Oryzias latipes: one gene and its partner. The protein of the gene in region 2 interacts with the protein of the main gene of each other region in a biochemical or structural test. Links are inferred from orthologs where the notes say so. Each region holds a gene or a part of one and is shown on either strand. Other genes may lie near its edges.

What was found.
Region 1: the proteins of rho guanine nucleotide exchange factor 16 (region 2) and tax1bp3 form a complex in vitro, tested with the Homo sapiens proteins (2 studies listed by BioGRID and IntAct, with this or other methods). The link is inferred for Oryzias latipes from reciprocal best matches to the Homo sapiens genes ARHGEF16 and TAX1BP3.

Annotation. Positions count from the first base shown.
Region 1 is NC_019862.2:30,694,435-30,698,825, reverse strand, and holds the start of tax1bp3 (tax1-binding protein 3), read right to left. Parts: upstream 2,975-4,391; 5' UTR 2,813-2,974; coding exon 2,774-2,812; intron 1,355-2,773; coding exon 1,235-1,354; intron 1-1,234. UniProt on the Homo sapiens protein: May regulate a number of protein-protein interactions by competing for PDZ domain binding sites. Binds CTNNB1 and may thereby act as an inhibitor of the Wnt signaling pathway. Competes with LIN7A for KCNJ4 binding, and thereby promotes KCNJ4 internalization.
Region 2 is NC_019865.2:7,811,782-7,816,310, forward strand, and holds the start of rho guanine nucleotide exchange factor 16, read right to left. Parts: upstream 3,115-4,529; 5' UTR 2,700-3,114; intron 2,062-2,699; 5' UTR 2,005-2,061; coding exon 1,420-2,004; intron 992-1,419; coding exon 946-991; intron 294-945; coding exon 130-293; intron 1-129. UniProt on the Homo sapiens protein: Guanyl-nucleotide exchange factor of the RHOG GTPase stimulating the exchange of RHOG-associated GDP for GTP. May play a role in chemotactic cell migration by mediating the activation of RAC1 by EPHA2.

The DNA of each region.
Region 1 (4,391 bases), on a different chromosome or scaffold from region 2:
CAAATGCAGTAAAAAAAGGGCGGGGCCCGTCCACACACACACTCAAATGTTATAAACACACCTGCTAGCTGCAAAAATGTCCACCTGTCGACATGTACACAAAACAGATAGTGTTCACACACGCATACTTATGCCTTAAAACCAACTAGTGTTAAATATTTCAGTCATTCAATCATGCAAACTGTTAGTGCAAAGGTGAGCTAACACCAGTGCTCAGGTGAGTGTTTATGTTCTTCTAAAATGGATGGTGGAACGTGAAAAGAAGGAGGGAGAGTGCCCAGCCATCCCCACCCCAATACCCCCACCGCAGCAGCAGCGGCAGCCGGAATCCCCCCAACGCCACACGGGAACCGGCAGGGAACAACCGCCGCCCGGGCGACCAAGCCCGCCACCCAGGCCAGGGCCAGCAGGGCCGCCGCAAGGCCCCCAGAGCCAGAGAGCAGGGAGGCACGGAGGGAAAGAGAGCGCCGCCCCAGCCCAACCAGGAGAGCAGCCCCCCCGCCGCGCCGGGAGAACCCAACGCAGGGCCCCACCGGAGAAGGAGATTTTTGTAAAGGTTAGTGTGCCGTGGCTCAAAAAAGGTTTGAGAACACTGGACTAAAGTGACGATCAAATTTTTGGAGAAACAAAAAAAACTTGTAACTGTCCAAAAGTTACTTTAACACCTAAAGTGACGTTTTCTTCCAAAATAAGAGCACCTGCCATAAATAAGACCATCATTAGGGACTAAACTGTACTTTTTCTAAAGTTTTGCCTGTAAGACGATAACATCATTACATTTTTTAAACCAGTGAGGTCATAGTGGGATTATATTAGAATTAAGGAGTGTTGAAATATTTGGGATTACCTGTGCAGGCAGCCTGAGAGTTTGATCAGTTACAACAATTCCAGGCCTCGAGGGCCGGTGTGTCTGCATGATTTCCAGACAGTCTTGCTCTACTCATGGCTGATTACCTGGTTCAGGTGTGTCCAGCCAATCAGAACACGCCAGAGCAGGGTGTGTTGGGAAACATGCGACCCTCAGTGCCCACCTCTGAGTTACAACATGAGCGCGGCGACGAGCCGAGGCCCGTCTGTCATCGACGGCTCGCCACAGAAACATTCCTCTGGAAACTCCTCAGGAATTACATCAACTTTTTCACATCACGCCTGAATCTGCTATCAAGGATTCTTTTCATTCTACAGCAACAGAAGTCGGAAAAGGTCCCTTTTCCTGTAGATCCACTTTTCTTACTTTATCTGCTTTGTCATCAGAAAACGGGTTCTGTCCCGGATCCTGGTCGATTCCTCCTCCGATGCAGAAGCCAAGAACCAGGTTTGGTCCTTGAGACAACTTCTGGATCTCGATTCTTTCCTGTTTAAAGGAAACCGGGAATAGTTGGAAACTCATTCATCTCCATTTGGGTGAATGACTGACATTTAGAGCCAAAAGTTAAAGAAAAAAAAAAAAAAAAGATCTGTTTCCAGATTCAGAAAACAAAAACATCAACATATGTCACTAAAAAGCCTCTATCTTTAAAAATATTAATGAAACAAATAAAGGTTAAAAAATATTCTAAACTGAGTATTCAACAAAATTAGAATTCAAGAAACTTTATTTTATTTTTCTTCAACACACTTTCAAAATCAGAAATATATGAATCCTTGATTAAAACTTCGTTTTGGTTTTTAATTAAAATTGTGATTATATTTTTCAATAAAATCCACTGAGTTTCAAGGATCTTCCACCATTTTTCATCTGAATACCTGAAACTTTTTGTCCGTCTAGTAAAACAATAAATAGATTTTTATTTTATTTTATTAAATAATATTCCATATTTGGTCAGAAACAGACTGAAGATGATGATGAACAGACACTCGCCCTTTTTGCATTGTAATAAAATCTGCCCTGTTTTTTTTCGTATTAGAATTAATAGATTTCTGCTAAAGATAAAAGAAAAGAAAAAAAGGGTTTTTTTGCTGCTCTTTTCTAGTAAAATCTTCATCACGGCCCTGATGATGTCATTTTACCCAGTGGTGAATTTATATTTTTAAATCCTTGATAAAACGTTTTTCTTTGTTCTTTATTATTACTTTTGTTTCTTCACAAGATTGTAAACTCTGAATTTGATACTTAGACTAAAAGGTCGTCTTATTTTACAAACTAAGTGGACAATAAAGTTTTCCATATTTTGAAATCTGTCCCCGTAAAATCCACCGTGTCGTGAAACGTTCACGTACATCCAGGACATTCGCCTCTCCACCCCTTCATGACAGCTGGGACGTGATTTACAATAAATAAAAATAAAAATAAATCCTACGCACAGATGAAACTTCGGCTCAGTTCCCGCTTCCGCGAATTTTCCTGTTTTTGATGCGTTTTGGGAAAATGTATTTTTCACAAAACAAACAAAACAAACTTTTAGAATCCCCCATGAGGCATTTGCGGACCGGGAACACTGATTCACATTCCGTCCAGGTTAACGCCCTTTCTAAAGAAAATCAATCCGACTTCATATTTAAACTTATTTAGTTACTTTGGTAACTTACTTTTTATATATAAAATAAGAATCCATTAAATATTAGTTTTACTGTGCGCCACGTAATTTAAAAGTGACTAATTATTGAAACATAAACACCAGATTTCTTGGTCCAATTCTACTAGAAGGTCATATTTAGATGACTAAAACGGTTCTACGTGACATGACATTAGCTTAATGTACGCATCGGTATCCACTTTAGCGAAAGTCCCAAACAATAGAGAGGCGTTCAATGAATCAGTCCGTCTTCTCACCACAACAGCGGTCACAGGTTGTCCCGGGACGAACGACATCGTCAGTCTGTTGTTCACCAAAAGCAAAGGATGAAGCAGCAAATGCGGACGAAGAATCAAAAAAAAAAGCCGGTTTTCCTCCGCGGGACAACTTTTCTTGAAAGCTCCCTGCGTGAGTTTCTCGCAGGCCTCGACACGAAAACTAACGGCCTCCGTGATGAGGTCACTCCCACCACGAGCTGCCGGGGTTGTTCGTTTCTTTTACTTGGGGCTGCCAAGACGGGCGGGGTTTGATGGGCTGACCGTCGCGCTTTTGAATTTCCAATTTTTATTTATTTATTTATTAGTCTGTCCATTCTTTTCTATTGTGTTTATTTTTATTTATTTATTTTTTCAATAAACTTTATTGAAAATATACAGGATCATAACACAAATGAGTCAACTTTAAAATACACCGATAGAAAAATAAGTAACAAAAACAAAATAGGCCAGGGGAACATAAAGGCAAAAAAAAGAACAACAAAAAAACAAAAAAAACATTTTTTGTATTTTTGTATAAACAAGAGTAGTAAAAGCAGTAAGTTGCTATTCTGTACATTTAAAAAAATATCACAAGTTCTTCCAACTTTGGTGTTAAGAAGATTTTATAATTATTGGTTTAACCCAATCATAAAAAGCTTGAATAAGGACCTTTTGTAGAAAATTTTCACTTATAAATATGACATTTGACTAGAATTATTAAAATATTAATTAAGTAGTTTTCCTTTTCTAGTGAATTTTTAACCAAACAAAATATCTTTGTATACCAGATCACATTTTTTATACATTTAACATCGTATAAAGGAGGTGAAGTCTTTCCAAAAAGCTGCTGTTTGGGGGCATTTCCAGAATAGATGTATGATTGTTTCAGCGTCTAATTTACAAAAGGAGCCGCTTCTATCAATGTCTATGTGTAGTTAGGATTTGGCTGCAGCATCTGTGAAGAAGATTAAAGCAAAAGTCCCAAAGGTTTATTTGAAATAAAATATTTGGAGGACAAAGTCCAAACTTTCTTCCACTCAATGTCTGAGGCAAATTTTCTCCAATAGTGGGTCACATGTGGTGCAGTTGTAATATCCTTCTGAAACCGGGATCTTATTTTTTTATTTGTTGAAGGTCTCGTAGTAAAGCAGGAATTACAAAAATTGGTTTCAAACAAAGAAACTTAACGTGAGGGTAATACATGGGTGTACAAGACCTTTAAATAACATTTTAAGTCCTTCAGGAATAGCATCCATGACTCTTGCTAATTCTTTGGAGGTAACTGGAATATTATGAGCAGTTAAAAATTGATTGTAGGATATTAAACACCCTCTTGAGTCAAATAGTTGATTTACATATTGTTTATTATTTTTTAAACCAGTAAGGGAAGAATAAAGATGTATTTTTGTATAAAATATTAGTGTTATTCCAGAAATGAAAGCTGTGAGGAGAAAAGGCATGTTTATAGATTAGAGACCAGGCCAGAAGCATTTGCTTCAGAAAATGTGCTAATTTAATGGGAAACTTTTGAATGTTATAATTAGACTGGAGGAGAACAGGGAGGCCACCGAGTTTAGAAAAGAAATAGTTTGGAATAAAATTCCACAAGGAATCTGGG
Region 2 (4,529 bases):
AACGAGGGGAGACTTTTACTCAGTAGAGTAATCTTTAAAAGTTCTCAAATGAAAAGATTTTCAGATGTACAAAAAAAATATGACAATTTCAACATAGAGCATTGAAACTTATAAGGTGAGAGGGTTAACCTGTGGCAGCTGGCTCCAGGTCAGCTGTGCTGGCTTGTAATTCTTCACCACAATGCCCTGGTCCTCCACTGGAGTCTCCACCACCACAAAGTCGTCCAGCAGCTCGTCCTGGTTGGTGGAGTGCAGGCCGCGCTCACGCATCTCTTGGTAGAGGCACGGTGTGGCTGAGGACCAAGACTACCAAATTACTTAAGCTTTACATCTATACATGCATAAAAGTGTTTAATCTTGGGTTCAACTTACCTATATCATAGAACGACTGGTATAAAAGTAATTCTAAATTATTTTACAGTTATACTAAATTGTATTGTTTACACAACAAAATAAGGATCTTAATACATTTAAAGGAAACTATATAATTATTTAGAGCACAATTATTCTAGACTAAAAATAAGATAGTAAAATGGGATACTTTATTTTTCCTAAAAAACAAACAAAAAAGCAGTTTAGAAGTTATCGAGTTCTTGTCTGGATAAGGTTAAAGAAACTGTTCAAATCCAAATATTACCTGTTTAGAAGAGGTTATTCTGAACAGGTAATATTGATCAATAATCATTACAGGAAAGTGAACATTATTTGAAGATTTTGTATGTTTTCTCATCTGCTGGCCCAGAGGTCATTTCTAATGCTGGTAGTGTTCAGAGCAGCCCTCCACTTTTTTCACACCAAGATGTTGGACAAAAATTGTGGCGCTCATGAATAGTCTGCATGGAGACCAACATTTCTACTAAAATTTAGCAATAGTTATTTTCCAGCAATCTGTAGAACTGTAAAGAAATTGATTAAGGCAGAAAAGTGAGACATGCATGAACGCACCATCTTTAAATGATCCCCGATGGTCCTTCTTTCTTCCAAGGGTTCGCTAGAAAGGAAACAACAACAGGGCTAGAATCCATCTTGAGGAGTTTCTTCATTCCCTTAGTTCTATTTTTTTAGTGACTGTGCCTTTTTAGTAATAGTTTTTGTAAAGAATTATCTGAGAACTTCCTCAATACTAGTCTTGAAGACAGGAAGCAGTTGTGGAAACATCCCATCATGCCTGCAACTTCTGAAGAAATTCAAGCGTCACCGCTGTGATCAATGAGATGACCAAAACTTATTTTTATTTTTTATGACTCAGCTTGTCTGGTGGCTGCATCAGAATTAATGATAATGTGATTTTTTTTTTTTTTTGCAGAAAGGCTTTAATAACTTCAAAAATAAGCACTTCCAATTATAATGGTCTGCTTTTCCCACATGAGCAAACGTCTAAACTCAGAAAATTTTGAAAAAAAGAGGAAAATGGCATACCGTAGTAAACTTTCGTCCGACGGTGTGCGATGGACCGGGACTGCTTGCTCTGACCTCATTAACAGATTTCAGGGTGCTGACAGGCGCTCGTTCTGCGCTCATCATGGCTTCAACGTCCAGGCTCGTCACTGCAGCTCTGTATGACCGGTTTCTGCGGTTCCTCCTTAAATCAAAGCCGTCTCCATCACTGTCATAATCCTCCCACGGCACATCAGGCACCTGGGCTGAATGACGGCTGTGGCTCTCGCCACTGGAGTCCCCGCTTGACTTCTCCAGTCTCACTGGGAACGTCACCACAGTGGTGTGGTACCGGTTTTTAGGACGGCTGGCTAATGTTTTAGGGATGAGCTGGTGAGTGCCCATCTTCTGTACTGCACGGCTTTCTGTGCTTAAAACCACTTCATGAGGCTCCATGATCCTGTCATCCCGATCCTCCTCAAGGGTGGCGGGTTCACCTGAGGGGGTAGGAGAAGCTTCTGCTTGGAAGCATTCATCCCCTGGCTCACTTATATGAAGCTCAGTGGCAAGTTGACTCTCCAAAAGCGCAGGGGCCTGGTTGCCGTTGTTTGACTCACTTTGGGACATAATTTCCTCTTCTTGTAATGCTCACTGTTTCTCCCGGGCTCCTCAGCGCCAAGGAAACTGAGGAGGAGGGGAGAAGAACATCTGTCACATGCATAATAAGATCAGAGTGCAGACAGAAAACACATTTATGAAACTGCACCTTCAACTAATGACATGAAACATAGGAAACATTTATAATTAGACCCCAGAAGACCTCCAGTGACCCTCACAAGGGCTGCAAAACTCTGTTCTCTGGTCTCAAGCATTTAGGCTGCAATGGAATGGAGCAGCATGTTGTGTTAGTCAACAAACTGCTGTCAAGAGATTTAACCCATGACTCACAATTCAGCTCTATCCAGCAATTATCCTCATTAAACTGCTGAGACATGCTCCAGCCAAAAAGAAATGACAAGATATAAAGCCAACAATTGCTCCAGTGGTGTTTACGCAGCGGCACAAAACCAGGTAAACCACATAACAGGTATTTTTTAGACTTACTGTAACACTCCAGTTGAGCTGCGTAAATTGAGCTTCTAGGGCACCTTTTCTGCCACACTAATCTCACAGCAAATAAACAAGTTTGCTTGATCTGACCTGACCCGAGCTTACTTTATTGTAAGTTGTAAGTGGGCGAAAAATGCCTGCTGCGCACTCCCGACCCGTCCAGAAAAGTGAGCTGACGCACAGATTTAATCACTAAAATTGAAAAATCTTACCAAAATGAGATCACTGTCAAACAGCAGGCGCTCGTTCCTTGGGAATTCTAATCGGCCCGGTTCGGCGGTTCTGCTTCAGATCACCGGGGCGGTGCGGCGGCGGCAGCAGCAGCAGCTGCAGGTCTTCTCCTGCGCTGCGCTCCTTCACAGACTCACTTCCTCATAAGATTGCAGGCGCTCATACGTCACCACAGGTGAGTGCCAATCAATCAGCGCGGAGCGGCAGTTTGGATTAAAGAAAAAAACAAGTCCTTGAGTCGGTGCCTCACGCGGGTCACCTGCGCACTAAGTCTGACAACTGTCTTCATGACGTGGTTTACCTGGAAGAGCAGCCTTGATCACGGAAAACTAAATTTCAGGTTAAGTGATGTGTGAATGCAAAATTAACAGTTTTGTTCTTCTGTCAACTTTTAAAGAAGTAATTTATTTTCTTTTTCATTTTTCTGACTTGGGCCTGTTTTGACCAGGTTAACGGTTAGCCTTTACTGCCCCCTGTCGATAGACAATAGATATTGCATGTCTTTGCCAAGACGTCATTTCATTACATCGTTCAAGAACAGAGAAAGAAAATCAAATTCTTCTTACATTTAATTGTCTAAATTTTTTGCTCACAAGAAACAGTTTGCAAATAACATTCAGATGATTCTTTATACTAGTGTCATGTATTCTCACCTCATTTGATTCTAGTCTATATGTTGTTTCTACTTGGTAAAAGAACTTCTAAGAGACACAGATTAAATGATGTAAATCTATGTATTTGCTAACACTTCTTAAAATCAAAATGATGAAAAAAAGTAAAACAAACCGTTGGGTTCTTGACTTGCAATTTATAGTTTTATTTATTTTAAGCATCTTTACTTTGGGTCACATGCCCAATGAAAGTATTGCTTTTTTTACCTATTACAAGCTTGCCTCCAGAGTTTATCAATAATAAATCCTTCCTTCAGAGGCAAAATATCAGGTAAACTATGTTGCCAAGAAGTACTTCCAATTCTGATTTTAAAGTCCCACTTCAATCACATTTTGATCTATTCTAAAAGTGGACTTTTAATTGGGATTATGCTATTTCTATAAAAAAAAAACAATTGTTTTTTTTGGTTATGTTTTATTTCACTGTTTAATTGGATTGAGATCTATTATGAGGTATATGTGTCAAAGTAAAAAACAGTAGTAATATGTATGGATGCAAGCTTCTTTGTCTCACAGTCTATAAGCACATGGACACAATAATTTCTCTGACTGTAAGAGTACATTTTAGCTTACTAAGATTGAACTCTAAATTCAACAGTACTTTAAATAATAAAATTGATAAAATGATCACAAACTTTGATTATATCAGTGTCTCATTTCCTGAACACAAGCAAAAACATAAACCCACATTAAATATGTTGATCACATATTTATTGTATTTTTATTTAACAGTCTGAAAATACACTTTTAAATTAAGACAACATTCTATTTAAGCAAGGCTGAGACATTTAATATTATGCAATATTGAAATAATGAAATGAATAAAATCTGAGGGTTTTTATGTACAGTTTGCATACATATATGTGATTTAAAATATCCATAGAAAATTCAAATGGCAATGAGATGAACATTATTTTTACTTTTAATATGGCATCTGATGAAGTGAATCTGAATGTTTCCAAATGATTAACCATATTTGTAATTTATTTAACTGAAAATGTACATCCTGGAAAGAAGATGGAAACATTTTCCAACATCTATTAGGACAAAATGGTCATAATTACAAGGAGGAATGCTTGTGTTGGTAAGATTAACAATCTTCAAACAATAACCAGAAATGTGTCATTAGATCAAAAATAA